Linked DNA regions of Oryctolagus cuniculus. The protein of the gene in region 7 purifies or fractionates together with the protein of the main gene of each other region. This does not show direct contact. Links are inferred from orthologs where the notes say so. Each region holds a gene or a part of one and is shown on either strand. Other genes may lie near its edges. The genes, in order: VAMP3, STX16, STX18, STX8, BET1, SCFD1 and NAPA.

Region 1 (4,072 bases), on a different chromosome or scaffold from region 7:
AAAAAAAAAAAAAAAAGATTCTGTGAACATCTATTGCTCAAGAATTCTAGGGAACTGGCACTGTGGCCTAAGCGTAAAGCCACCATCTGCAGTGCCAACATCCCATAAGGGCACCAGTTTGTATCCCAGCCGCTCCACTTCCGATCCAGCTCTCCGCTGTGGCCTGGGAAAGCAGCAGAAGATGGCCCAAGTGCTTGGGCCTCTGCACCCATGTGGGAGACCCGGAAGAAGCTCCTGGCTTCTGTCTCCCTTTCTGCCTCGTCTTCTCTGTGTATTAACTCTGACTTTCAAATAAATAAATAAATAAATCTTTTTTTTAAAAAAAAGAATTCTATAAATACGGATGTGTTGAGCTGCAGTTTGCCAGAGACTGCCTTCTGTGTGTCAATGGGCAACTGTCACAGATGAATTCTACAGAGACTTGCTCAGACTGGGTAATGTGTAGGTCAGGCTAAAGGACAGAGCGTTTTGATTTAAAAATACATGTATATCCATCAGAAGGACTGGTCCTGGCATGAGCAATCTTAGACCTAATCCTTAAAGTTCTGTTACTTTTTTTAATAAGACACTTTTGGGGCATGCCCTCAGGGAGACTGTTTTATGTACATGATTCTATATAGGTTCCCGGAGAGTCTGACTTTGGCTTAGATTAGGGCAGATTCACTACCTTTATGATAACTCAACACTGATGTTCCATTCACACCTTTACGAGAGTTTTTCTAAACAGAATTATCTTCGGCACGCTGCCATGTTTGTTTAAATCTACGTTCCCAGCATTTCGAGCGATACCTCATCCACTTGGTTCTGCGTCTGCTGAAGTCTTCTGCTGCCGGCAGCAGCGCTGGAACCTGCAGGTGCACCCGTGGACCTGGAACGCGGAAAGGCACAGCATGAGTCGGTCAGGAATCCCAATACAGTACTGTCAGCTTTAGGATGCGATCCCATTCCCCAGGACTCCAGTGCGGACAACGCTCACATCACAACCAAAGCGAAAGAGAACCCTGCCTGTAGACCTGAACAGTTCCTCCAAGATTACCAATTTGCCCACATCCGAGGGACCGGAGTCCAGGAGGAAGGCTCGGTAGAGTCTGGTACACAGCAGCGACCCCCAGCCGGGCACACACACAGGCCGCTCTCGGCACTCAGGACTCCCCGGGCCCTTCCACTGCGGCAACAATGCTTTCAGAGGAATAAGAGTTCCGGTGTCTCCTAATAGCGACTCATTTACAGACACAGCGTAGGAACACCGGGCGGGGGGGGGGGGGGGGGGATGCCGTGGAATGTTCGAGAATGGCGAGGAAGCATCGCATCCTCTCAGCGACCGACTCATCCTCCAAGTCTCCCTCTCTTGGCCACTGCGGCCCGGAGCTCCCCTAGGGCTTGGCTGGCGCCGGACAGTCACCAGTCACCTCTCTCCTGACAAACCACGGGCTCCTGGGTCCTAGAATTCTCTCCTCCGTGTTCAAGAATGCCTGGAGTGCTGGCGCCGCGGCTCACTAGGCTAATCCTCCGCCTGCGGCGCCGGCACTCCGGGTTCTAGTCCCGGTCGGGGCGCCGGGTTCTGTCCCGGTTGTCCCTCTTCCAGGCCAGCTCTCTGCTGTGGCCCGGGAAGGCAGTGGAGGATGGCACGGGTGCTTGGGCCCTGCACCCCATGGGAGACCAGGAGAAGCACCTGGCTCCTGCCTTCGGATCAGCGCGGTGCACTGGCTGCAGCGCGCCGGCCGCGGCGGCCATTGGAGGGTGAACCAACGGAAAAGGAAGACCTTTCTCTCTGTCTCTCTCTCACTGTCCACTCTGCCTGTCCAAAAATGATAATAATAATAATAATGCGTGGAGCACCTGCCTCGCCACACAACATCAGTTATTTAAAACCTGCCGCGCGTCAGCAGCCGGGGAATAAGGCAGATCCCACGCTGTTCTGCGTGGAGTGTCCGCGAGAGCACGCAGAGGGCCCACGCCCCGCGCGGGCTCCTTGGATCCTAACTCTTTGGGGTGGGGGGGACACTGCCGATGCCCTCAACACGAGGTTTAGCAGTCACTCCAGGGGGCATTCACCGGCTCCGGGGGTCCGCGGGGCTCTGCTGACCAGCACAGCGGCCTCCCCAGGGACGTCCCACGGGCGCGCCCCTCGGGCGCTGGGCTGGTTTTCCCCGCAGGGGTTGCAACGAGGGGCTGGAGGCGAGACTGCCGGGGCCCTGCGATGCTGGACAACCGAATCTGGAAACAGCGGTCTCCAGGGCCGCAGCCCCAGGAACGCATTCGCTCAGGAGCAGCAAGGCCCCGGCCAGGCTGCCGTGTCCCGAGGCCGCCGCTCCCGGCCCCGCGGTCGCCGGCGCTGCTCTTGGGGACCTCGCGGGGCAGGGCCGGGCTGCAGGGCTGGGCGCAGCCACTTCCTCCCGGAAGCCCGCCGGCGGCAGGGCCCTGGGGACGGCCGGCGGCGCCGCGGCGACAGCTAGGCCCTGCCACGGCCCGCACTCCCGCGGGCGCTGCCCGCCGCAGGCCTCGGAACGCACTCAACGCCCTCACGGGCTCGGCCCGCGGCGGAGGGGCGACCGGCAGGCAGCCACCGGGCCGTGCGACGGCTCCCGCCGCGGGCCGCCGCCTGCGGGCCCCGAAGCCGCCCCGCGCCCCGTCGCGTCACTCACATTTTGGCAGCGGCGGAGGCGCGGACGGCGGGGCGAGAGTCCTCCGAGCTGCGCAGCCCAGGACCTAGGCTCGGGGATGGGTGGGGTGGCGCGGCGGCAATGACGTCATCGGGCGCGGCCGGGCGCGCCGGAAGTGGGCGCCCACGTGGGCGGGGCCAGCGCGAGGCGCCGTCTGCGTCCTAACGCCGTCGGCGGGGCCTGTGGCGGCCGCCCCGGGCCACTGGCAATGGCGGCGTGGGGGGGCCTGGCCGCTGGGGACGCGGTCAGGGGGAGCAGGCGGTACGGGACAGGGACTGTCTGGGCGAGGGCGGGGCTCTGTACGTTCTTCCGGGTGTTTTCGTTTGTGACCGGTGTCTGTCAGCGCCCGCCGCCGGCCGCGCTGAGGGGCGCCCGGGTCGAGGCGGAGTGTGAGGTGGGAGTGGGGAACGCAGTGCCGGCTTGGCCGCGTCTGTCACGTGAGGAAGGAGCGAGCGCGCGCCCCGGGTTGGGGTCGGGGGTCGGGCCGGGCCGGCCGCGCTGGGCACGCGCCGGGCACGCGGCAGCCGGCGGGGCCGGGGGCCTCGAGGAGCCGGCGGGGGCCGCTACGGGCGTGGGACGGTGCCGGCGCGGACGGCCGCTGGCCGGGACACTGGCCCAGGGCTTGGGACTTCAACTGCAAAGCTGGGCGTCTGCAGGACTGACTCTCGCTCAGGAAGGCGTCCGCCCAGCGCTGTTCGGGATCACGGGTTGGCATTGGGAACCGGCACGTGCTCACCCCCTTGGATTCCGGGAACGGGTCAAGTTAAAGCAAAACACGGATAGTATGGGGAAATTTTCTTCATTTTTAATTTACAGCAGAAAGAATATAAAGCATTCAGAAAACATTTTCCATATTTTAAGGGCAATTCAAAACATTTTGCATGGTTTCCAGCAGCTGAGTTCTTCAACAGATCCATTGATTCAATGATGCTTTACATGCACAATTACAAAAATAAAACTTACAAAAAAGAAGACATCTAGACTAGTTTTACATGCAAGTCTCAGGGACCCCCCGTTGGGCGCCAACTACTGTGTGGAACTGCCAGAAGCGACCGTGCAGCCAGAGAGGGGGTTCGTGTTATTGTCTTTTATTTCGTTCACACAGTACAGCTGATTTCGAATGGGTAACGAGAATAGCAATTAAATCTTCAGGAGACAGAATAAGATTAGCTATTAATTTTATAATGAAATCCTACTCCTGGCACTTGGGAATTCAGATTATCCAAGAAAGCTGCGCTTACCTATCATCTTATATTCGAAATTAAGGTTCACAACCAAGAGAAAGCGGTCAGAAAAGCTTCGATTCAGTGGAAGTGCGTTTGTCCCTCACCGAGGATTCACAGTTGGACTGGTAGGTCGGAACCTACTTCCCATCCCCTCCGTAAGAGCCCTCCCAATTCTGTGTAAGT
Region 2 (4,061 bases), on a different chromosome or scaffold from region 7:
ACATACTTCTCGCAGCGCTTGCGCCACGCCCGGGGCTCCCCGAATTGCCTGCTCTGCCTCCGGGGACGCTGTCCCCGTGCCCGGCAACCCCCAGCCCCGCAGCCGCGGCTGCTCGGGTGGCGGCGTCCTGCCAGGGCGCACGTGGCCGGCTCCCGCGCTCGGAGCTCGCCCTGCCCGGCTCGCCGGCGCGCTCAGCTCCCTCGTTCCCGCATTGTGCAGTCAGAAACCCTTTTCGCTCTGCTTCGAGAGCCTGCGGGGCGCTTTCCCCTGCCGAGGAAACGCACGTGGGTGGGGTCCGGGGCGCCCCCTGCGTGAGCCCAGGGAACGGACACGTGTGCGCCAGGCGCGGTCCACGCGGGGCACGAGGGCACCCGGCGCGGCGAGGCTCGGGTGTGGACCCCCCTGGCGACGCCAGCCCGCAGCCCCGGGAGCCCCGCGGGCCCCAGAACGCGGGACCCCGGGCCGAGGGCGCGGGGCGCGGGGCGCGGGGCCGGGGCCCGCTCAGCGCACACGGCGGTGTTCGGGGCGGTGGGTGACAGAGTTTTCGGGTGACTCTCCCCCTGGGGAGTCCACAGCCCCGCAGTGGCCCCTGCGGAGAGCGGCGGCTGGGGAGCGCGGGCGACCCCCGCGACCCCCGCCTGCCGCTGGCGGCGCCGCCCGGGCGACCTGGACGCCCGGAGCTCCCGCTTCACAATTTTTTCCTTTTTTTTTCCCCCCCTCTCCTGGTTGTTTTTCAGATACATCTTTTTTTTTTTTTTTTTTTTTCAGAGTTGAAAAAAAAAAGCCCTCCACAACAGAACAGCGCGAGCGCGAGCCGCCGCCCGCAGCGAGCGTGCTCGGCCTGCAGAGGCCGGCGCCTCCCGCCGCCCCCGCCCCCGCGCCCGCGCCGCGCCGCGCGGCTGTGCTCTGCTGGTGCCCAAGTTCGCCTGCCCAGGAACTTGGCACTCGCCATTGCGGGGCCACGGCCCTGGGCAGCGGCCTGCAGCTCGGGGGCCACGCGCCCCGGGCTGAGCGCTGCCCCCCGGGCCCGCTCCCAGTGCCTGAGCCCCGCGGGGGCCGGGAAAACGGGGTGCCCCGGCCATGCCCCGGGAGAGGGCGGAGCGCGCCCGCGCCCGCGCCCGCGCCCGCGCCCGGGTGTGGGCAGGGAGCTCCCGCGCCCGGAACGTTGCGAGCAAGGCTTGCGAGCGTCGCAGGGGGGCACTCGCGAGGGACGGACAGGAAGAGGGCCAGGGGGGACGCCAGAGCCCGGGACCACGGCACGGAAGCGGCCCGGGGCTGAGCTCGCAGTCAGATCCGGGGATGGAGGGAGCTGGAGGAGAGGAGTGAGGAGGCCGGGGAGGGTGGCCCTGCTGTCCTCCTGGAGGCCAGCGGCCTCCTCGCGGCGGGGGAGCAGGCCGCGCAGGAAGGAGAGGGGTCAGGAGGTCGCCGAGCCGCAGCAGGCTCAGCGCAGGCCGAGAAGGGAGCTGCAGGCGCTGTGTAGCCGAGGGCTGGGGTTGGCCAAGGAGGGCCGAGGCCGGGCCTCTGGCGGGGGCAGCGAGGCAGGGCCCGGCCCCGGGGCGCGGCCTAGACGCCGGAGCGCGCGGCCAGGGGCAGCCCGGGGGTCAAAGGCCGTTGGGGGTCTCGGGGTCTCAGGGAGTCGAGGGAGGCAGGGGGCTTCAGGTGCTGCCAGTCCCGAGCCGGATTGGCGAGTTATGCGCTTGTAGATCCAGGGTTGGATTGGGGTGGGGGTCTCAGGGACGGCGGCTGGCCAGGCGAGGATTGGGGGGATTCAAGTGCTTGGAGATCGAAGCCAGGTCTTGGGTAGGGGGAGTCAGACAATTGGCAAGCCTAGGCGGTTATCTGGGGAGGGGTCTTCGCGCCTCGTCGGCTGGAGGCCTGCGGCCTGGCCCAGGGAGGCCGCTGGCGCGAGGGCGGGCCGGCTGGGCCGGGCCTGGAGGCGGGCGGGGGGCCCTGAGCGGGGTCACACAGGGTGAGCCATGGCCACCAGGCGTTTAACCGACGCTTTCTTGTTGTTGCGGAATAATTCCATCCAAAACCGGCAGCTGTTAGCCGAGCAAGTGAGTAGTCACACCACCTCCAGCCCTCTGCATTCACGTAGCATTGCTGCGGTGAGTCTCCCGGGCACGCGCGCCGCGCGCCCCCGCGCCCCGCCCGCCCGCCTGTCTGTCTCTGTCTGTCTCTCTGTCTGTCAGCCGCGCCGACCAGTCGCGAGCGGCCCCGGCCCGGCCAGGGGGCGTCGCCTTCGCCGGGCCCCGCCCCCGCCGACGGCCGGGCCCCGCCCCCGCCCGACGGCCGGGCCTGCGGGAGGCCCGCGGGGCGTGGGGAGGGGCGCGGACGGGGCTCCCCCTCGGGAAGGCCGTGGGCGTGGGCGTGCGGCTGCGAGGAGACGGCCCTGCCCTCAAGGCCCGCGGTTCCTCGGCGCCGCCGGGCTTTGTGCGGGTCGCCCCCTCCCCAGGGCTCGCGGTGCGCGGCCGGAGGCCTCGCGTGTCTCCCCGCACGTCGGAAGGAGGCCCGCCGCGGCGCTGCGTCCGCACCTCCCGCGCGAGCCCGGGCCGAGGCGTGGAGGCCGCGTGAGGAACGCGCGCCGTGGGCTTCGGCGAGGCCCCGGAGCCCGCGGGTTCAGAGCCGAGGCGCGGTGTAGACGGTGCGCCCGGGCCGCGCCGCGAGTCAGATGCTTGTTGGAAGGGATTGCGTGGGCGCATATTTAAACTGCGTGTCTGCACAACCCAGTAGAGCGGGTCGGACTCCGCGCAGCCGCGTGCACGGCCGGGAACGCTGCATCGGGAGCACGGCCCGAGCTCGCGTGGGTTCCTGAAGACTTGGAGGGTGGGCCGCCCCGCCGCTGGGGGCGCGCCCCGTGCCCCTCAGTGTGTTGCAAGCCTTCCTAGATGATCAGAGCCGTCGGATCGCCGAGAATAACCCGGTTTCAAAAGACTGTCTGCCGCCCGCAGCGTCAGTGTGCCTGGTTTTTAGAAGTTAAGTTAGCGGGCGCATTTACGTGTTTTAATATTTTAATGGTGCGCGCCGAGGCACCGCATCCCCAGACCCCAGAGCGCCCGGGGAGCCTGCGGGCGGCTTCCTGCAGAAGCCCTTCTGCCTGTGCACCCGCTGCAGGAAGATGAAAAATCACCAAATCACCGCGAGAGGCCGGAGCACTGGGGCAGAGGGCAGGGCCTGGCCGCTCCGCTCTCCCGGAGCCGGCAGGTGCACGCGTCGCGGCTGTGGAACGTTGGCTGAGTGGCTCCCAGAAGGCCCCGCCGCACTCCCGAGGTTCATCCTGCGGCAGGTCACACAGAAGTCACACCTCGAGTGTGAATGTAGAGCGGCCGTTAGGTGGTAATGCAGCAGTCAGACCAACCGCAGTTGATTACACGTGTGGGTCTTCCTAGCGATGGCACTGAAGGGCTTGGTGGTGTAGTATCAAGAAATCTGTTTCCTATTTAAGTACTTAGCCCCCCTCCAATGAAAGAAGCAAATGAAGCAAGATACTAGTAATTCTTAAGCCTAGTGACAACTATCGCTAGGACATTATATCATTTTACGTACTTTTTCTGTGTGTTTGGAAAATTATAAAAATTTATATTTTGTCACAGTAAAGTAAAACAGCACAATTTGTAAACATCCATGCTAACTTAGGTAATTAACAAGGCAGTAACTAAACTTGAGAATTTAAATTAATTTTAAAACTCATAACTTGAAATTTTAAATTTCCAATTAGAAGAAAAAGCTGTAGAAAGTTGATTTTCGTGTATTTGCTAGACATAGCTAAAAAGAAATCACACCTAAAATAATTGGAAAATTTCTGAAATTTCACATCCTTATTTGAGGAAAACACTGCAAGAATTGGCTGAAAAGTGGCGTGTGTGTCCATCAAACATCTCGGCACAAAACAGCCCTACAGCCATTGCCATTCAAAAAATGAAGGCCCGTTTCTTTTTCTTGTTTGAGGAAAAAACTTGAAATTGGCTTTAGTGATGAGGGTTAGTGTGTCGCTCCGGCCAGTGTGTCAGAAGTAAACACATTCAAGGACAGCCAGCGGAAGTGCAGGCAGCCCCGGCCCG
Region 3 (4,076 bases), on a different chromosome or scaffold from region 7:
CCCACGTGAGCACGAGTTTGAACTTCAGCTGTTCCACTTCCAATTCAGCTTACAACTGGGAAACAGCAGAAGGTGGCCCGAGTGCTTGGACTCCTGCCCCTGCCCCTGCCCCTGCCCTGAGTGGGAGACCCGAAAGAAGCTCCAGGCTCCTGGCTTCAGCCTTGCCCAGCCCCAGCCATTGTGGGAGTGGCCATTCGGGGAGCAAAGCAGCAGATGGAAGCTCGCTCTCGCACGCGCGCGCTCTCTCTCTCTCTCTGCCTTTTGAATGAATAAATCTTTAAAACAAAAACAAACTTTCAGGGACACACAAGCTAAGCGTCTGACAAATGGACAAAGTTCTCAAACACCTATGACAAGCGGTCACCTGTCCATTTTCTGCTACTGACAGGGAACTCGGCGCTCCACGGTCCTGCTACCACCCCTGAGGGGCATTAACACACAGCCTAGAGGGCATTCTCACCGCCCAAGGAGAGGCCCCGGGATCACTGGGTTCTCCACAGGGCCCGACGACCCAGCCACACTTCTTGCCTCTACCATCCCCAAACCCCTATGCCTGAGCAGGGCCCAAGCAAACTAGCTCAGTGTGAGTAAGAAATCAGTGATTTCAAACTTAGAGCCACCAAAAGTCCAAACTGCTATCCTGCCAGGGCCCCACGAGAGGAATCTGGGAGCCCTGGGAGGGGAGGACGTCCTACTTCCCTTTCTTCCCTTTCGACCTGAGACCGCACCTCCCTGCACCCTAATCAGCTATGTATCAGGGACCACTGTCATTCTGTGCAAGTCTTTTGTTGGGGGGGGGGGGCAGAGGAGACCATTGTCCCAGGAAGTAAAGGGAGGTAACAAACCCTGCTCACTAACCTCAGCTGGCTGACAGCGGCAGGGTTCAGAGGGCAGCTCTGTCCCCGGCTCCTTCCCGAGTGCCTGCTCAGTCACACGGCGGCTGACTGCCTAGAGGCCAGGTTCAAACTCCAGAGAGCGGTCACCATCGCCTAAGGCCCTTCAAGAGCCCTGCCCGCCACTGCAGCCCGGTGTCCACTGAACCAGCCAAGGGCACACCTCTGCAAACCGCTCTCAGCCAAGACGCCCTTCCCCACCTTCTCTGCTCGCCAACCCCTCTTCCCCGGAGACCTGCTGCAGGCGCGTCACCGCCCCGGAAGCCTCCGCAGGCGCACAGGTGGCAGTGAGCGCTCTCTGTGCTCCGCGGAACACCTGCAGGGCTAGCGCTGGGCCAGGCGCGCACGCCTCGCTCCTCTGCCGCTCCCTTCCCTTCCCACCGCTCTGTACAGCGCTGGTCGGGAGGCAGGCGCAACACAGACGTCTGCCGACCGCGTGCGTCCGTCCATCCGCTCCAATCCCCCTTCCGATGTTTGAAAAGCTGCTGCAAGCTGCCCCTCGCTAACAGATGCGCTACCCATGCATTTGAAAATACCTCGACCGCGAGGTGCTGGGTGTGAGCCAAGACAGGCGGTTCACCGCGACCTTAAGGAAAGTCTGCGTCAGGGACCCTCCCTTGCGCCCTCCAAACTCCTGACCCTCCGTTTTCTAACTTTATTTCTCCAAGAGGGTACATGGAACCGTATGAGCTTTGGGCGCCAAGCTTACAGAGTGAACCAGGCCAACACACCCTCGCCGCTTACGCCGGCAGCCATTCATCCAGCGAACCTTTACTGAGCCGAGCCCGTCGACAGACGGCTCCCGCTCTCAGGGAGACGCGTGGCTGCACGACGGAGCACGCAGAGGGTCGCGGCCACGCGTGGGAGCACACGCTGCTCGCCAGAGACGATCCTAACCGCGCTCCGCAGCCACCGAGCCCTGCCTCCCGCGACGGGCAGCACCGAGAGCGAGCGCCGCGGGACGCTCGCCACCCACCCACGAGGACGCTGCGGCCGCCAGCGAGGCCCCGTGGGAGGCTTCGCCCGCGTCCAGCTCTGAGTGACGGCGAACTCGTCACCTCCCGAAGCAACCCTGGAGCCCCGCGGACGGCGCCTCTAGGGCCACCCCCCCCCACCCCAGCAAAACAAGGCTGCTCCCTTCCCAAGACGGCTGTCGGCGCCCTGGGGCCACCCCTCCCTGCTCCCCGCTCGGGACCCCTTCCCGCTGACAGCGACTTGAGGTCTGGGGTCCCCCATCGCGGGTCCGCCCCCCGCCGTTTCCATAGCAACCAGCTCACCACTTCGCGGGCCCGGTTGGAGAAGTCACCCTTGGGCCGGGGGGTCCGGCGGAAGAGCTCGTCGCGGCTGCCCTCGACCCCGCCGCCGACTGCCACTCCCAGCGCCTTGTTCCGCGTCTTCACGGTCTTGACGCTGGCCCGGAATAGCAGCGTGATGTCCACCGCCATAGCGACCAGCAACAGCCACCGGCCCCTACACTCGGCCCGCTCCGCTCACGTCAGCAGCCGGCGACCGCGGCCGCTGGAGGACCGTTCCGGCGGCGCACGCCTCCGCCCGGCGACGACGACGCGAGAAGAAAGGTTCCGGCCTCCGCCTGTCGATCGCGAGGAGAGGAGAAAGGTTCCGGCCTGGGCCTGGGGGCGTGTGCGTCCCCGTGCCCACCACGAGCTCATCGGAGCCCCTTTAGCTCAGAGAACCCCGCTGAGCTCCAGTTACGCTGCGGGGTGTGGATCCCGGGAGCGAGATGAGGAAGCCGAAAGGCTCGGCGCCTTGTCCCGGCTCCTCCGCTGGTGGGGCGTGGGCGGTTCGGTGGCCGGACGCGGGGACGCGCCAGCCTTGACCTCGGGTCTTGAGCCGGACAGGCAGGGAGCCCTCGCCCCTCGCCCCTCGGCCCGGCCACCCGCTCCCCTGCGAGGCTCCTCCGCGCCTGCCTGGGGCTGGTGTGGGGTTAACCGAGACGACGCGTGGAGAGTGTTTTGACGTTGCTGGACCCAGAGAGGGGCCGTCCATGCAGTTGGTGGTGTTTTCCCATCACTCTTGCTATTTGTGGCGGGAGGAGCCTGGGAGCGGTGTCCCCCGAGCAGGTTTGAAATTTATCAGCTCAAAGAGGGACTCCTGCCGCGGGGTTCCGTTCACCCTTAATGTACGGTTTTTCAGCGTAGCGTCGGGTCAGCTTTTCCTGAAAGTCAGTGTATGAGGCTTTATTGGGTCATGGTTCAGTTTCAAGATCTCACTGGTTGGATCTTTTTTTTTTTTAAGGGTTATTTATTTATTTGAAAGTCAGAGTTATACAGAGAGAAGGAGAGGCAGAGAGAGAGAGAGGAGAGAGAAAGAGAGAGAGAGAGGTCTTCCATCCGCTGGTTCACTCCCCAAATGGCTGCAGTGGCTGGAGCTGAGCCGATCTGAAGCCAGGAGCTTCCTCCCGATCTCCCATGCAGGCGCAGGGGCCCAAGCACTTGGGCCATCTTCCACTGCTTTCCCAGGCCATAGCAGAGAGCGGGATTGGAAGTGGAGCAGCCGGGACTCGAACCTGCACCCATATGGGATGCTGGCACTGCAGGCAGCGGCTTTACCAGCTATGCCACAGCGCCAGCCCCAGATGGTTTTTTGTTGTTGTTTTTCCCCCTCAAATAGGAGGCACAAATGGAATGTGTATTGAAACAGCAGTTTCAATGGACAGCAAGATAAATTATTTTCATAATTCTAAGATGTTATTTCGTTTTCACTCTTGTTTTCTCATCAGTTGTATACGCAGGTATGACGAAAGTCCGTGGAAATGTGTATTATGAAAAAAGGTGTGCGTGCATTTCAAAAATTGTTAAAGATTTTATTTATTTATTTGCAAGGCAGAGTTACAGACAGTGAGAGGGAGAGACAGACAAGAAAGGTCTTCCATCCGCTGGTTCAATCCTAAAATAACTGTAATGGTGGGTGCTGGGCCAGGCTGAAGCCAGGAGCCTGGAACTCCATCCAGGTCTCCCACATGGGTGCAGGGGCCCAAGCGTTTGGGCCATCTTCCGCTGCTTTCCCAGGCCATAGCAGGGAGCTGGATCAGAAGAGAAGCAGCTGGGACTCAAACCGGTGCCCATATGGGATGCCAGCACTGCAGGCAAAGGTGTAGCCTTCTACAACACAGTGCCGGCCCCTCAAAGTTTTTTTGCACCAAAGTGAAATTACTGTTTCATC
Region 4 (4,276 bases), on a different chromosome or scaffold from region 7:
GTGTTTGTGGAGTTGCAGGGCCCCGTGCATGGCTTGCCCTCTGCAAACCAATGCAGACCCCTGAGTTTTTGTTCTGTGGCCTGGCACCCAGCTCCAACGACAGCCAGCACCTCTCGGATGTGTGGAGGGCCCACTCCCCCTCTGAACCTGTTCCAGTGGAGAATCGAGAGCTAAGTCCTGGAATGTGCTTACACTGTAAATACAGATTTTTCTGCATCTATATTATCACAAGTTTCAAGCTTTCAGGCATTACCAAACACTTTGTAAAAAGGATTTGCTTTTCCTAAAATTTAGTCCACTGCTTTTTCACATCCCTCTAAACAAAAGCAAAAAATATATATATGCATGTATGTATATATATATATATATTCAGCCCTTTTTTCTCCCCCTTCAAGGCAGAAGGCAGACACAGCAGAGTGGCAAGGCCAATCTCTGATAAAGCTCTAATCCCGCTCCAGCTCGCCCCCACCCCTTCCTTCTGAGACCCTCACCATGGACACACGTAGCGTCCCCAGATCCCCCATCGGCAGCACGGGGCTCGGAAGTTCGCTTGGTTATAGTGGGTCCCGGAGCTACGCACGCAGCGGCCGGCGGTCACGCAGGGGTCCAGCTTCGTGGGCTGGGAAGCGCTGTCCTAGGGGGCCGGCCACTCCGACCCACCCGCCAGCCCCCCAGGAGCTGTGGGAGCCCTGGGCGGGAGAGGCTGCAGTCACACGGACCAGGGGTTCCCGCACCAGCAGCCCCGCACGCTCACCATTGAAGCCGATCACGGCGGCCAGCTCCAGCTCGGCCACGTCGGCCTTGGGCGACATTCGGTCGTCCATCTCCGGGACACACGTCTCAGCTCTCCCTCGGCTCCCTCCAGTCTCAGCCCCAGCGGGTGCGGCGTCGCCTGGTCGTTATGGCAACGAGCGCGCGCATGCGCGCCGGGTCCACGCCGGTGCGCTCACCAGGTGTGCGGAGCTGGGGAGTTGGTTCGCCCCCTTGCAAGGCACAGGGGGCTTCTTTTCTCTATTTCTCTGCAAATTTAGGGGGCAGGGGAGGGGGGACACCAAATGCACAGAATGAATTCCCTTTTCCCTTCTGCAAAGAACCTATGCTCAACTCCCCCTCCCCCATGGCATTTAACAAACGGAGGTTCGTTTCTGACGGTAGACGCTATAAAATAATATAAAATTGATGGAGGCGGGGCTGTTTGAAGCAGGATCACAAAACTTGAAGATTTTAAGAGCAGCTTTGGAATACTTACATATCAACCCCCTTAGAATCATAAATCAGTCTAACAAACTTATACAGTGTGCAATTATCATCACAGTTCTTTTTGCCTTGTTGAAAGCTAACAAAAGTTTTTTCTATTTATTTTCGTTTTTCCGTAAAAGGCAGACAGAGAAGCAGACACAGAGAGAGCTCCCATCTCCCGGTTCTCTCCCCAGGCGGCCACAACAGCCAGGGCTGGGCCAGACGGAAGCCAAAGCCGGGAGCCCAGCCCGAGTCTCCCACGAGACAGGTAGGGACCCAAGCTGAGCCCGAAGCTGGGAGCAGGCAGGGCGGGAGCTGGAGCCCCAGGCCCCGCGGTGCGGGCCGCGGGTGCGTTTCACTGCGTCTCCACCGCGTGCCCGCCTTCCGCCCCAGACACGGAGTAACCTCCCCGAGTACCAGCCAGACAGACGTCCGCAGATGCTCGCGCCGTCCCGAGAGAAGCCTTCCGTTCAGCCACATCCGTGCCGGCGCCCCGCAGGCCGGCCGCGCCCCCCACCCCCACCCCACACGGCGCCCAGGGGCGCTCTGTCCTCCCCGAGTCCTGCTGCAGCGTCCGGAGGTCCTCCTGGGTGTTTGCGTTCGCGTCCTGAACAGCACCGCGGGGACTGAGCCACACGGGCCGCCGTAGTCAGCTGCGGCGAGCAGGAAGTGTCCGAGCGGCGGCTGGCAGACTGCACGATGGCCCCAGACCCCTGGTGCGTCCCGCGCGAGGGTGGGTGGGAGTGCGGCGGCCGAAGTTCGGGGCAGCCAGGCTTCCGGGCGGCAGCCGGGCGCTGGGCCTCGGGGCTTGGAGGGCTTTGGTGGCGGTGGGGGGAGTGAGACGAGGGACGGCCAGGTCCTTTTCCTGGCTGGGGGCGCCTCTGCCACCCTTGGTCCTTTCCAAGGCTGGCGGGGAAGGAGACCTGGAGGACCCCGATGGGGGCGCTGAGGGTCGGCGCTCTGGGTGATGGAGCCGGCTCGCGCGGGCTTGCCCCGGCGGCTGTGACAGTGGGCGGGGAGTGCCCGTTTTTGTGCAATGTCGATCCATGTGGCGAGCCCTCCGAGATCCCGGGTGTGGAAAGCTGGGCTCCGGTTAGGAACCGCTGACGGGGGAGAAGGGAGGCGGGCGGGAGTAGCACCCAAAGGTCTCGGACGCCCATCAGGGAACTCTCGGGACCCCGGGAGGGCAAGGAGGCACTTGTTGGTGCGGCATCTCCTGAGTTCGGAGCACGCAGGACGCGAGCTGGCCCCCGGGGGACCGAGCCCAAGGACTTTTACTGCCGTGGCTCTGTCTCACCTTAGCGAGACTTCCACGGGGACCAGGCAGTGAGCCCAGCGGGATGCATCCAAGTCGGAAGCCTCCCGGAGAGGCAGACCGGAGGAACTGGTGCAAGTGGGGTCTTGGATGCACGATTCAGGGAACAGTCGATCAAAGGGCAGGGACAAAACCCATCTGAAGGCCGGGTTTGCAATCCTGTCTGGTGTGCTCCCGATAAACCAAAGAAGCCAGCCGTCAGAGGGTGGGGTAGGGAACTTCCTTCTGTCCTCCGCAAGGATGGGATTGGCGCTTTGGTCTTGCCAGGGTGGCTTTTGGGGAGAAGTCTGCGTGCGTTTTGTACTCTCTTAAAGGGACCTGAGCTAACTGCATATTCGTCCGTAGCGGTGTATGTCTTTGGTTGTGTTTCTAGTAGAGTTTATGATTGTTTAAATTGCCATCTGCATATAAGGAAAATGGATTCCAAGGTCCAAGTTAGGCTTACCTGCCATCTAGGTTGTTCAGGCCAGTTGCTTAATGTCACTCTAATTTTTGTCCCATCTAATTGTAACATTTGTATACAACCTTAATACATTTAAAGAATACCAAATATTTGCAGAAAAGACAATAAATAACATCTTTAACACTGGCATTTGGAAACAGCCATTATTAAAAAATTTTTACACTGAATTTTTTTTAAGCTTGATTTATTTATTTGAGAGGTAGAGTTACAGAGAGAGGGAGAGACTGAGAGAAAGGTCTTCCATCCACTGGCTCACTCCCCAAGTGGCCACAAAGGCCGAAGCTGCATTGCTCTGAAGCCAGGAGCCAGGAGCTTCTTCCAGGTCTCTCATACAGGTGCAGGGGCCCAAAGACCTGGACCATCTTCCACTGATTTCCCAGGCCATTAGCAGAGAGCTGGATCAGAAGTGGTGCAGCTGGGACTCAAACCGGCGCCCATAAGGGATGCTGGTGCCACGGGTGGAGGCTTAACTTACTCTGCCATGGAGCCGGCCCCCTGCAGTGAATTTATTTCTTTAAACTCTACAGTGTTTTATAAAAGGGGGCATTTCTCCATATTATTGAAGATTTTCTGAACACATGACTTACAGCCCCTAATAATGCCTGATATGAGTAACCATTATTTTTCTCTTAATATTAGGTTTTTGTTTTTAGTTTTGTGCAGGCTATCCCATTGTTCCATCTCTCTCTCTCTTATTTATTTTTTTAATTTATTTAAAAAGGCAGAGTGACAGAGAGATGACAGGGAGATCTTCCATCTGCTGGTACACTCCCCCAAGTAGCCACAACAGCCAGGGCTTGGCCAGGCAAAAGCCGGGAGCCAGCACCTCATCCTGGTCTCCCACGTGGGTGGCAGGGCCTGAGCACTTGGGGTTATCACCTCCTGCCCTTAGGGGAGGCTGGATGTAAAGTAGAATCACACTGGCCCTCCAGTATGGGTGCCAACATGGCAGGGGTGGCTGAACTGCTGTACTTTGTGCCATTCTTGGTTTCCTTGGGCTGTTTTCCTAGAAGCAGAACTCTTGGACTGTAGATCTGTTTTTAAGGCCCTTGGTATATGTTATCTTGCAGAATCCCCCCCCCCCCCCCGGGAGGCTGACTCCCAGGGTTTACATACAAATAGCAGAAAAATACATTTCTCTCCGGGCTGGAGCTGTGGTGTAGCAGGTAAAGCTACCCCCTTTAGCACTGGCATCCTTTATGGGAGCCTGTTCGAATCCTGACTGCTGTACTTCCAATCCAGCTCTGTGCTGTGGCCTG
Region 5 (4,040 bases), on a different chromosome or scaffold from region 7:
CTGGAACACTTGAAAGACCAGTTCCGGGAATTCCCCTCCACCTGCTGCTCCCTAATCCCACCCCCGCCTCTAGCCCTCCTAAAATATAAACAGGCCAGGACCCCCAGGACGGGGGGTCAGGGCCTCCTGCCACGTGTTCCATCAATGTGCAGGAGGGCAGTTGGTCATTCACCTCTTCTAATTTATTTTCTCTGAATAAATTCAGTCTGGCTGTAAATTCATTCACTGCCTCCTCTCTATTCTGCACCTCTTTTCCTAACATTTATGGTGCCCCGTGTGAGGAGGCACCAATCTGCAACTCTTTTCCTAACAATTATAAAAACTTATTTTTGTGTTTTAAGAAAGCAACTTTAAGGCAGAAACTGAAGTCACAGCTACATCACTGTCACAATGGGAAACCGAGGAAACAGGACATGATGAAGATTCAGAGACCTCTAGCCGGGAGACCATTACCTTGTCACACATCAGCAACATCAGAACGCAAACACCAGCGGACTCCGAGCATTTCCTGCGTCCCAGATGTCTTCAAAAACCATTGCTGCAGAGTCTCCTCAGGGTACCTCATCCTGTGAGATAACACGAAATTCTCACTTGACCCAGGCAGCAGCACCAACACACTCCTCACCACACCCTACCCCAAGCACTGAAAAACCCCAGTCGGCACATTGCTATATGTAAGGCAGTATTCAGCACCACGTGTCTAAGGGATTCAGGCGTGCTCCCTAACCCCAACGATGCTTCTAGAAGGGAGCCGAGGGAGCAGCAGGGAGCCGGCTCGCTGGGGGCTCCGAGAGACCCCTGCTGCCTTAGCCCAGCACGAGTCTCCCCCCCTGAGTGTGACCAAGCACAAATCAGTTAGCCTCTGCTGCCCCGCCAGTGGGTCTCGGACTACTTGTTTGCAAGACGAGAAACTTGGACGAAGTTCTCTCAGACTTCCCTGAACTAACTCTGCAGGTAACAGTGAGTACCAGTATGAATCAGGAAAGGTAAGTCAACCACCTCTCGTGGGCCGGGAGAAGCTGAGCTATTGTGTTAAATGTAGGGACCTGTAGGCAGCTAATCCCACGGCCCTAGCATACGGGGTCACGGTACCGAACAGCGAGTTTCAGGGTCCGGAACAGGAAGCCAAAGCGGATGTCGCCCCTCTTCCGGAAGTCCCGCCCACTCCAGGAAGCGAGTCCCCATCGCTCCTCCAGCCATGCCCTTTACGACAACAGCGAACTACTTTTCCCAGAATGCCATTCAACTCTCCTCGCGGAGCACCAATGGGCGCCCGGGTTGACGCCATCAGTCGGCGCGGTGTACCAGGCTTCAGTGATGTCGTGGCGCTTGGGGTGAAGAAGTTGGTGCTTCGCGGCGCCCTGGGACTGAAGACGCGGTCCGGGTGACCTCTGGCCCTTTCCTAACTTCTCTACCCCCGCCTGCCTTTTTCCTCCCTCTTCTGGCGGGATGAGGCGTGCAGGCCTGGGTAAGAAGAGGTCCGAGGTGCGAAGTGGGGAGCCCCAGAGCCGGCCTTGGTCGGCGCGGGAGAAAATCGCCCTGGTGTCCTGTCACTCGGCATCTGGTCCAGAAACGGCGTGTGTGGAGGGGAGCCATGCAGGCGGTGCCTAGTGGAAGCACGTCATTTGTCCTAGATCTTACGGGGGTATCCTTAGGTTTGGTCTCCGGACCCGAGTCTTGGAGAGTAGCATAGGACTGGGGTGCGGTATATGCAGGTGCCAGCTCAGTCGTCGGACTGTGTGCTGTGTGGTGGCCTGGCCTCTCTGCTGTTTCTGCTTTCCTGCTGCCTCTGCCTCTTAGAAGGGAGATACGAAGAGTGGGGTTGCATGCTAAGCGCTTCCACAGTGATTATGTGAGTCGGCTAGCAGTGAGTGACAAAGGTACATGTACACGTCGTTACCTTACAGGCCTTGGGGTGTAAGGTCGGGGTCAAAGGCAGTGTGCCTGGAGCATTTCTTATCTGAACCTCTTCCACTGGTTAGCAGCTGTCGGGACTACCTCTTATGGTTCTGAAGCTCTGTACTAGGAGATGGTTAAACACGAGGAGGAGGAGGAGAAAGACGAGAAAGAACCCTGCTCTATCAGTGCAGCGTGATTGAGAATATATGTGAGCATTGGCGAAAGATGACTGTCTCTGCCAGCCGTGGTAATAACTTGGCAAAAACGAAAACAGGGCTTACGAAAAGTGTCAACTTTAAGGTCAATGAAAGTTGTCAGTGTGTCAGTGTTCTTTCTTAGTGCAGTTTTTGTGAATCTGGTTGGAGAAAGCCAGGTAAATTGAAGACAGAAAAGAATGTTGATCAAGTTTAGTTTTCACCAGCCTATGTGTTTTCTCAGTGTCTTTAGGTTGTATACCTGAATGAGCTCTAGCTATATAGTTGTTTTGTTACTTTCTTGGTGCTCCCCACAGCTGGGAAGTAGGAAAATGTGCAAAGGTAAATTATGGTACAAGGTGGCAGCTATACATCCAAACACAAGATAATGTTCTGCAGATAATGTCTCAGAAATTGCAGAGATGGTGACCTTGAAGTAGACCATGAATAATGAAGTTAGGAAAGATGAGTTTCAGGTGAGAGGATCACTAAAAAAGAAAAGAAAAAACAAAGAGCATAGAACTAGGATTATGTAGCTAAGGAATTATGACTCAACCAATTTGATTGAACCAAGAAACATGAGACCACATTGTGGAGATTGCATTATAGGCCAAGGAGTTTAGATTTCCTAAATTGCCCTTGAGGCCCACTTATTTTTTGCACTGCACTCTCCCTGGTTAAGTTGCAGGAAGGGGACTTGAGAAGTAATTGTTCTCAGTCCTGATAGCACATCGATTAAGGAACTGTTGCTATAATTTACATTGTTATGAAGTGACGGTTTTTTTTAAAAAAACTTGAAGTGCCAGTGTGAAATGACCTGCAATTTTAGATTTGGAATAATAATGAATTTGATAGATATTCATGTGAAGAATATTTGTGTTGGTGGATGATGTTTTTTGCTTTTTTTTTTTTTTTTCAAATATTTATTTATTTGACAGGCAGGGTGACAGATCTTTTGTTTGCTAGTTTACTCCCCAGATGGCCTCAACAGCTAAAACTGGGCTAAACTAAAGCCAGGAGTCAGGAACTCCATCTGGGTCTCCTACATGGATGGCAGTTTGGCTCCTCCCCCACTGCCTTTCCAGCCACATTAGTAGGGAGCTGCTTTGGGAGCAGAGTAGCCAGGACTTGAACAGGCATCTGATAAGGGATGCCCAGCATGGCAAGCAGTGGCCTAATTTGCTACACCATGAGTCCATCCCTGGGGGAGGGTGATAGCTGAGAGAAGATAAAACTCTAATAGAAATATGCACTGAAAGATTTCCAGACAAGAAATAAAATGAGAATTTCATTTTAAATAGATGGAACAGGGACAGGTATTTGACCTAAGTAGTTAAGCCACTGGTTGGGGCAACTTTGTTGAAATGCTTGGTTTCTTGTCCCGGCTCTGCCGCCAGTTCCAGCTTCCTGCCAGCGCAAACCCTGGGAAGGTAGCAGGTGACTGCTTGAGTAGTTGGGTCCCTGGCATCCTTGGGGGAGCCCTGGATCTAGTCTCCAGTTCTTGACTTCCGCCTGGCTCAGCCCTGCTGTTCATTTGGGGGCACAGACTGGCCTAAGGGAGCTCTCTGTCTCTTTGCTTCTCAAAATTTTTTTAATGAATAAATGAAGCAATATAAAAGAAATCTAAAACTAAAATTAATGTATGTGAAAAGACCCAAACAAAGGACATATAGTAAGTAGCTATTCATTTAGAACTTGAAGAAGTTCTAGAATTTCTTGAAGTTACAAAGTGATTGAATCCAACCAGTCAGTAATTACTTATTGGGCAATGTTATATACTTTGGCTCTTAAACATATAAAATAAGTAGAAGATGTTTCCATTTCCTTAAGGATGTTGATCATTATTATAGATTGCACAGACTATTCATTAATAAAGTTGCATTTTTCAAGACAATGATTTTAGTTGTTGAGTGGGGGGAAAATGAGCCCAGTCTTTAAATTCATAAC
Region 6 (3,500 bases), on a different chromosome or scaffold from region 7:
AAATACCGGGAAGACTGGAAAACTTACCCAGTGTAACAAAAAAGCAGAAGAGGCTGTCAACAATAGTGTCCATCACAGTTTCCATCTCCGTGTCCGTGATATCTGGCCTGTTAATGGCTGACATGACACAGGCAAGGGGAGAGAAAGTGACCACAATTTGTTTTATTTCTATTAAACTCTTAAAACTATTAAACAAATATGCAGTTTGATAACATTTATAATACCCCAGTGAAATTTTTGCTTTAATATTTTTTTAAATGAACAAGTACCTGTTGAAAATTATACTACCTCAAAAAACAAAAAACAAAAAACAAAACCAAAACAACACAGCCAAACAAACTACTTCAATACTAGGGGAGTAGTAATTTGAAAAAAATTGAAAAGTCAGCCATGCAAAACTTGGCTATTGTAAAAGGGAAAATATTGTATTCTATAATTTTATTCATAAAACACTAAATTACATGGCCTCAAGAAAATTTTTAAAAGTTCACTCATCATTTGCGAGGCAGAGAGGGAGACTGGAAGGGGTGTTGACAGACACCTTTATTGCCTGGTCCACTCCCCAAATACCAGCAATGGCTGGGACTGAAGCTGGAAGCTGGGAACTAGGAACTCAATCCTTATCTCCCAAGTACTCGAGCCATCCTGCTGGCCCCAGAGTCCACAACAGGAACCTGGAACTAGAAGCCAGAGCCAGGAATCAAAACCAGGTACTCCGATACAGGACACAGGAGTCTTAATGGAGTAAATGCCCACCCTCCAAGAAACTACTGATGCTGTTATAAAAGGGTTTATAGGGCCAGAAAATGACAAAGTAAGTTAATTATGGCAAAACCACTATCACATAACATTCTCTTTGCATTATAAGATTAATGAATTTATTTCTTTTTTGTAAAGACTGCTTGTTTTTTAATAAAACGATTTATTTATTTGAAAGGCACAGTGAGAGAGAGAGTGAGAGACAGAGACAGACAAATCTTCTATCTACCTGCTGGTTCACTCTTCAAATGTCAGCAATACCCAGTGCTAGGTCAGACTGAAGCCAGTAGCCTAGAACTCTATCTAGGTCTCCCAAAACAATAGCAGGGGCCCAAGTACTTGGGCCATATTCTGCTGCCTTCCCAGGTCCATTAGCAGGGAGCTGGATCAGAAGCAAAGCAGCTGAACTCCAACCAGCACTCCTATATGGGATGCTGTTCCAAGGGCAGGCTCAACCTACTGTGCCACAGCACTGGCCCCATGAATTTATTTTCTAATGTAAGACTGTGAAAAAGTAGTTACCACACTTAAGTGGGTGTAAAAATCACCCTGGAAATACAGGAGAAGAAAAAGTAGTCTCTCGGGAAGCTTTTAAAGGTTCTTGGCTCTTTTATCCAAGGATTCAACAGATTTGAGAAAATTCTGCAATTCTGTCAAAGTACTAGACAATTAACTTACTCCTGCTATAAAATACTGTCTTACACGCCATGAGTGGACCTTCATACATGTTGTTGTGGGGACACCTAAAAGAGAACTAGATGGGGCTGGCATTGTGGTGCAATGGGTTAACCTACTGCCTGCAACACCTGCATCCCAAGCGAGTGCTGGTTTGAGTCCTTACTGCTCTGCTTCCCATCCAGCTCCCGGATAATTCACCTGGGAAGACAGAAGATGGCCCATGGCCCAAGCACTTGGTATCTGCCACCCATGTAGGAGACTCAGATGGAATTCCAGCTCAGATGGAACTCCTGGCTTCAGCCTGCCCCAGCCACAGCTTTTACAGCCAATTGGGAAGCGAATTACCGGATTACAGATTTCTGTCCGTTCCTTTCATCTGGAACTCTGCCTTTCAAATAAATAAACATATAAATCTTTAAAATACACAAAAAGAATTGGTGCTTTTTCAGCTTACAGGTTTATTAAATGTTGCTTATTTGTGAGAAAATTCACACATTTTCTTTGAATGCTTTTTAAAAACTTTTACAGCTTTACTATTGTAAACTAAGTTGCTCTGAAGTATGCCAATCCTATTCACTACTTTTTTCTTCATTTCGGTAATAACGAATTGTAATATTCTTATTTTTACATACCACGATATGAAACAAGCTCCTTATTTTGATTACATAATACAAACATATCATCTTCCAAAGTAATAAAGTTGAGATACTGATCAAAAACCTAGAAACAAAAGAAAAGGTTTACAAATCTATTTTGTAATATGGCCACATCAAAAGGAAATTTTATTTGATATAATCTAGTAACAGCAGAAGATATTATAATAAAATTATAAATTCAGTAACAGAAAACTACTGCATAGCAGATTATGTAATTAAACAAAAGGATAGGCATATGAAAAAGACAACTGAAAACAAGCTTTTGGGCAATAAATGCCATGAAGAATAACATTTTCAGAAAACGAAATTTAGGCAGCTACAAGGATCTAAATTGTGATTGTGATGGGAACAGGCATTTTGAAGAAAAACTACAACTTTTAAATCACACTTTCCTATGAAAAGTTATTACCTCAACCTTCATAAATATAACAAGAAAGTTACATCAGTTCTTTGCAAGTGCAAATTAGGAGGAAATGAAGAAAAGTATTTGAAATTGACTTAAACTAAAAATTATTTGTTATTTTATTTTATGTGAAATTAATAAGTCTTGATCAAGAACATTAAGGCATACACCTCAAGAATTAATCAGAAGTAGTAGTGGACCATCTAAATATAAGAATAGAAAACCTGTCAGCTGGGAAAAAGGTGGAAAATAAATGCATATTTACTCTGTTACTTGCTCCATATAGTTCCATAGAATTTTCATGTATGTCTTGTCCAAATTCAAGAAACTAAAGGCACTATAAAGCTATACCAGGATTACATTTTGAAAATTTATTTATAGCTGAACCTAATGAAAAGTCACTATGATATGGAGTTGCTAGCCTGCAAGGAATTCCTTTTTTCTTACAATATGCAACATAGCCTCTTTGGATCCTCTTTACTAAGGAAGAAAAAATTTATAGACAGGATGGTCACTATAGTGATTACAGATAAAATAATGTCAACATACTTTGAACACAATTTTTGACAACACACCATCAAACTATTTCTGAAATGAGCTGAAAAGATCATAAAAATCCCAGCCTAAAGCAAAAATTGATTCTGCTTTTAATTTTTATCTTTCTACTTCATAAACACTAGGCCCCTTTAGTTTTGGCTAGTTTAAGTTACAGATAATTTACATTATCAGCATTCTACAAAAGTGTTGAGTCTAAACATTTCTTAGCTTGTTCAGGTCATTTGTAAACAAGACATTCATGTCAATAGGATTTGGAACACTAACTTTTATATTAACAAAATAGCACCAACCAATCCAATCCCTTACCTTGGCTACTTGTGTTACTGCACTAGCCGCTAAGGCTGCATTTGCAATATCTTCCAGTTTACTTCTTGAAATAGCAGAAATAAAATTTAAATAATATGATTCATAAAGCTGATTTCGAAGGTCCTATAAATAGAATGAGT
Region 7 (4,153 bases):
TCCAGGTGCACTGGTTGCCTATTGCTTTACATCCGACAGCCTAAAACACATGACAGCTTGGTACCGGTGCTGCTTGGACAGGCACGGGACCGAAATTGCCTGTGGCGATCCAGACAGACGTCCGCCGAGGCTGTGGTCCGCACACAGCGGCCGCCACAAGCAGCGGCTCGGGAAAGCGCTTCCTGGAAGAGAGCTGGGCGAGAGGTCGGCCTGCCGTGCCCTGGTCAGTCAACCCCAGCCCCGCACAGCACTGCGCGTGCACACGCCGGTCCCATGCTGGGCGGGGCTCTGGAAAGAAATGGACTCCTGTGCCTCGCAGGCTCAGAATGGGGATCGCGACAGGGCGGGCCCTGCAACCTGACTCTGTAAAGCAGCTTTTCAGAATAGGTTCCCAAAACTCCAGACCCCACAGCTTCCCCACGCTTGCCATTAGGCTGGTACCTCTGATGCAGTGAACAAGCCGATCTGGGCACCGTGTGGCCGGCCAGCGTCTGTGCCCTGACTTCTTGAGGTCAATCCGACGCCACCCTGCACTGAGCAGCCGTGGCCCCCTCGGCTCTTACTAGGGAAGGGGAGCAGTACTAAAAATCAAGATCAAGACACCAGGCAATGCTGGAACCGCCGGCAGGCAGACAGCTTGACTTGCGGCCAGCGGCCAGGTCGAGCTCCCTGCCGGACGGCTGGCCGGGGAAGCCGCCAGGACGGAGGGCCCACGGCGAGAGGGGCCCCCCGCGGCGCCAGCAGCGCCCCACGCTCTGCGCGGCCCCGCGGCTCAGACTGGCGAGTCCGGCCCCTGGGAAACAAGCTCCGGGGGCGACGCCTCTCGTTCTCTGCCCCGTCCCTGCGTCCCCCTCTCGCCTGAATCTCGCACGCGCGGCTGCAGGCGCTCCCATCTGTCAAGCACTGCACGGGCCTCCCGCGCCAGTTTCAGCATCGGCCGGCAGAGGGCGCAAGAGAAAGCAGAACGCTCCCCTTTTTTCCCACTGAGGCCTTTTCGAGTGAAAGGAACCACGCGAGACAAGGCTTAGAGGCGGGACTAAAACACCGAGCAAGAGAACTGTCAAACCCAGGCGTGCGCCGGAAGTTGTCACGTGACAGCCGCCGCTCCAGCTGACCCGTGCCCAACTTCCGCAAGGTGGGGCGGACCCGAGCAGAGAGCGGCTGCTGATTGGTGGAAAGGCAAATACTGCGGCAGCACTTTGGGGGTGGGTCCCTGACGGTGAGGGCTACGATTGGCTAGTGCGGCGTCACGAGGTGGTGGGTGCGGAGCATCCGGAAGAGAGGCGCAAAACAGGTGGCTACGCATGCGTCGAGAGTCACGGGGCGGTGCGCGGCGGCCTGCCGGGGCGTGGCCAGCGGGGAGCGCGCCGCGCTACGAGGTCCCTGATTGGCCAGTGCCAGTCACCTGGTGCCCGGCCTCGGGCGGCGCGCGCCGGTGCGACGTCAACGCAGCCAGCTAAGCTCCCGGGACCTGTGTACCGCGGCCCGGCCGGGCCTGAGTCCTCCCAGGGCCCGGGTCGGGCGGTTCGCTGAGTTCGCTCTGCGGCCGCCATGGATAACTCGGGGAAGGAAGCGGAGGCGATGGCGCTGCTCGCCGAGGCGGAGCGCAAAGTGAAGAACTCGCAGTCCTTCTTCTCAGGCCTGTTCGGGTAGGAACCAGGCCGAAAGGTCGGCCGGGACCTGGGCTGGGGGCCGCAGGGGTCACGGCCTGGGGTGGCGGGGGAGGCGCGGTGCGGGGGCCGGTTTCCAGGGAGAGGGCCGAAGGGGCTTGGGCTGGGGACCCACGGGCCCGGGCGACCACCTCTTGAGGCGGGGAAGGGGATCCAGGCTGAAGACGGGCTCAGAGGCCAGCGGAGACCTGGGCGAAGGGGATACGGGCAGTGGCCTTGGCGGGGACCAGCCGCGGGGGCCAGGTTCCAAAGCCTTCTCAAGCCCTCGGGGGATCTGTTTGAGGGGTCGCGCCGGGGCCTGGGGCTGGGGCCACCTGCCCAAGGGGCTGACCTTCCCGAGCCCAGGCAGGGGGCTGCTGCGTAGCCCTTCGGTAAGGACAGGGCTCGCACAGGGCCTGAGGGCTTGGGGACAGGACTAGCGGCTGCCATGCGGCAGGCGCCCACGGAAGTTGGCGGCAGCTCAGGGCCGGCCGCACTGAGGGGCTTTGGGGTGCGGCTGCCGCTCAGCCCGCGACCTGGGTGAGTTTTAATCTCCCCGACGAAGGGGTAGCCAGTGAGAGCTGTCTCCTCCCCGTCGATAGCCGGGCGGCGTTGGGCTGGCGGATGGCGAGCGCTCCGAAGTGGTGGCTGGCAGTGTTGGGAGTGCCCTGCAAGGAAAGAGGTGTGCGGTGATGGGGGCTGGTAGAGAGCCAGGCGGGAGCCGGGGAGCGGCTCAGGAGCCGAAAGGGGCAGGGAAGGCCTGCGGACCGCGGGGCTTAGCGGGGTCAGGGCACGGGCCGGGGAGGGGTAGCGGAGGTCAGCGGGAAGCTTGGGGGGTCAGGGCACGGGGCCGGGGAGGGGTGGCGGAGGTCAGCGGGAAACTTGGGGGGGTCAGGGCACGGGGCCGGGGAGGGGTGGCAGAGGTCAGCGGGAAGCTTGGGGGGTCAGGGCACGGGGAGGGGTAGCGGAGGTCAGTGGGAAGCTTGGGGGGTCAGGGCACGGGGCCGGGGAGGGGTAGCGGAGGTCAGCTGGAAGCTTGGGGGGTCAGAGCCGGGGAGGGGTAGCGGAGGTCAGCGGGAAGCTTGGGGGGTCAGGGCACGGGGCTGGGGAGGGGTGGCGGAGGTCAGCGGGAAGCTTGGGGGGTCAGGGCACGGGGCCGGGGAGGGGTAGCGGAGGTCAGCTGGAACCTTGGGGGGTCAGGGCCCAGGAGGGGTAGCGGAGGTCAGCTGGAAGCTTGGGGGGTCAGGGCCGGGGAGGGGTAGCGGAGGTCAGCTGGAAGCTTGGGGGGTCAGAGCCGGGGAGGGGTAGCGGAGGTCAGTTGGAAGCTTGGGGGTCAGGGCCGGGGAGGGGTAGCGGAGGTCAGCTGGAACCTTGGGGGATCAGGGCCGGGGAGGGGTAGCAGAGGTCAGCTGGAACCTTGGGGGGTCAGGGCCAGGGAGGGGTAGCAGAGGTCAGGGCACGGGGGCCGGGGAGGGGTAGTGGAGGTCAGCGGGAAGCCGCTGAGGCCGAGCTTAGGACGGGGAATGGGACTGGGGTTTGCTGCAAGCCGGGGAAGGGGGTCTGGGAGGCGGGGGGGGGAGGGTCTTTCCAGGAGACTGAGCCTGCCCTTGCTGCTGGAGGTGGGATAACAGCAAAGGAAAACGTCCGGGTCCTCATGGGTTTTGTTGTAGACTGAGTGGAGACCGTGTGTGTGCGCATGCGTGTGTGTAATTCAAGTGCGCTGTTCTGAGGGTGGCTGGTGGTGTCTGGTGCCCTTGGCCCAGGGTTAGGGCCCCGCTGGGCTGCACCGGGGGGGGGGCGGGCAGCTAAGCCAGCCTGGGACAGGCTGCTGGGTTGGGATGGGGAGCGCGACACTTGGCGTGGACTAGTGAGGCTGGGTTGTTGGTTGTAAGGTGGGCTGGGTGATGTCCTTCAAAGCCTGCAGGACTCGGGCGGACGGCGCCTGGCATGAGTGCTGTGAGCAAAGGCCTCACCTGGTGACAGGGACGGCCAGGGGTGGTCTCCCTCGGGCGTGATGGGCCATCGGGGGAGCCGTGTGCTGCGGAGCTGTGAGGCGCGGCCTGTGAAGGTTTAGTGCAGGGGGTTGGGGCTGGGCCAAGGTGAGGCCACGAGCGAGCGAGGGCCTGGACTTGAGCCGAGCCCGAGAGGAGAGTGCTGGGTCTGAGCAGCGACTGGGGACGCTGCCGCCCGTGCTTCCTGACGCCGGGCCTGGCGCTTCCGTCCTCGCCAAAGCCCCGTGGATAGCGGAGGCCTAGAGACATCGCCGTAGGTGCTGGAGCAGCATGCGCTGCCCGGCCTGGCGCTCACTCTGCCCTGCCGTGCCGCAGCGGCTGCTCCAGGGCCAGGGCCAGGGCCGAGCCCCCAGAGCTCTGCAGTGGGGAGGGCGCGGCACACCAGGTCTCGGGGAGCTGCCGCCCTCTAGCCCCTCCCCCCCAGTCTTCCACGGGAGAAAGGAAGCAGCTTTGGGGCCTGCGCTGCCCCGACGCTGGCACCCCGCATCGGGG

What was found.
Region 1: the proteins of NAPA (region 7) and VAMP3 purify together in Homo sapiens (affinity purification with mass spectrometry; 3 studies listed by BioGRID and IntAct, with this or other methods). This does not show direct contact. The link is inferred for Oryctolagus cuniculus from reciprocal best matches to the Homo sapiens genes NAPA and VAMP3.
Region 2: the proteins of NAPA (region 7) and STX16 purify together in Homo sapiens (affinity purification with mass spectrometry; 4 studies listed by BioGRID and IntAct, with this or other methods). This does not show direct contact. The link is inferred for Oryctolagus cuniculus from reciprocal best matches to the Homo sapiens genes NAPA and STX16.
Region 3: the proteins of NAPA (region 7) and STX18 purify together in Homo sapiens (affinity purification with mass spectrometry; 4 studies listed by BioGRID and IntAct, with this or other methods). This does not show direct contact. The link is inferred for Oryctolagus cuniculus from reciprocal best matches to the Homo sapiens genes NAPA and STX18.
Region 4: the proteins of NAPA (region 7) and STX8 purify together in Homo sapiens (affinity purification with mass spectrometry; 4 studies listed by BioGRID and IntAct, with this or other methods). This does not show direct contact. The link is inferred for Oryctolagus cuniculus from reciprocal best matches to the Homo sapiens genes NAPA and STX8.
Region 5: the proteins of NAPA (region 7) and BET1 purify together in Homo sapiens (affinity purification with mass spectrometry; 5 studies listed by BioGRID and IntAct, with this or other methods). This does not show direct contact. The link is inferred for Oryctolagus cuniculus from reciprocal best matches to the Homo sapiens genes NAPA and BET1.
Region 6: the proteins of NAPA (region 7) and SCFD1 purify together in Homo sapiens (affinity purification with mass spectrometry; 3 studies listed by BioGRID and IntAct, with this or other methods). This does not show direct contact. The link is inferred for Oryctolagus cuniculus from reciprocal best matches to the Homo sapiens genes NAPA and SCFD1.

What each region holds. Positions count from the first base shown.
Region 1 is NC_091438.1:159,935,339-159,939,410, forward strand, and holds the start of VAMP3 (vesicle-associated membrane protein 3), read right to left. Parts: upstream 2,801-4,072; 5' UTR 2,648-2,800; coding exon 2,646-2,647; intron 869-2,645; coding exon 790-868; intron 1-789. UniProt on the Homo sapiens protein: SNARE involved in vesicular transport from the late endosomes to the trans-Golgi network.
Region 2 is NC_091442.1:3,594,825-3,598,885, reverse strand, and holds the start of STX16 (syntaxin-16), read left to right. Parts: upstream 1-1,261; 5' UTR 1,262-1,976; coding exon 1,977-2,108; intron 2,109-4,061. UniProt on the Homo sapiens protein: SNARE involved in vesicular transport from the late endosomes to the trans-Golgi network.
Region 3 is NC_091433.1:4,626,896-4,630,971, reverse strand, and holds the start of STX18 (syntaxin-18), read right to left. Parts: upstream 2,801-4,076; 5' UTR 2,339-2,800; coding exon 2,171-2,338; intron 1-2,170. UniProt on the Homo sapiens protein: Syntaxin that may be involved in targeting and fusion of Golgi-derived retrograde transport vesicles with the ER.
Region 4 is NC_091448.1:53,885,301-53,889,576, reverse strand, and holds the start of STX8 (syntaxin-8), read left to right. Parts: upstream 1-1,476; 5' UTR 1,477-1,938; coding exon 1,939-1,955; intron 1,956-4,276. Other genes in the region: CFAP52 (cilia- and flagella-associated protein 52), read right to left, coding at 755-824. UniProt on the Homo sapiens protein: Vesicle trafficking protein that functions in the early secretory pathway, possibly by mediating retrograde transport from cis-Golgi membranes to the ER.
Region 5 is NC_091447.1:41,915,647-41,919,686, forward strand, and holds the start of BET1 (BET1 homolog), read left to right. Parts: upstream 1-1,240; 5' UTR 1,241-1,449; coding exon 1,450-1,468; intron 1,469-4,040. UniProt on the Homo sapiens protein: Required for vesicular transport from the ER to the Golgi complex. Functions as a SNARE involved in the docking process of ER-derived vesicles with the cis-Golgi membrane.
Region 6 is NC_091443.1:44,656,594-44,660,093, forward strand, and holds part of SCFD1 (sec1 family domain-containing protein 1), read right to left. Parts: intron 3,484-3,500; coding exon 3,361-3,483; intron 2,158-3,360; coding exon 2,070-2,157; intron 118-2,069; coding exon 28-117; intron 1-27. UniProt on the Homo sapiens protein: Plays a role in SNARE-pin assembly and Golgi-to-ER retrograde transport via its interaction with COG4. Involved in vesicular transport between the endoplasmic reticulum and the Golgi.
Region 7 is NC_091449.1:10,127,469-10,131,621, forward strand, and holds the start of NAPA (alpha-soluble NSF attachment protein), read left to right. Parts: upstream 1-1,353; 5' UTR 1,354-1,551; coding exon 1,552-1,649; intron 1,650-4,153. UniProt on the Homo sapiens protein: Required for vesicular transport between the endoplasmic reticulum and the Golgi apparatus. Together with GNA12 promotes CDH5 localization to plasma membrane.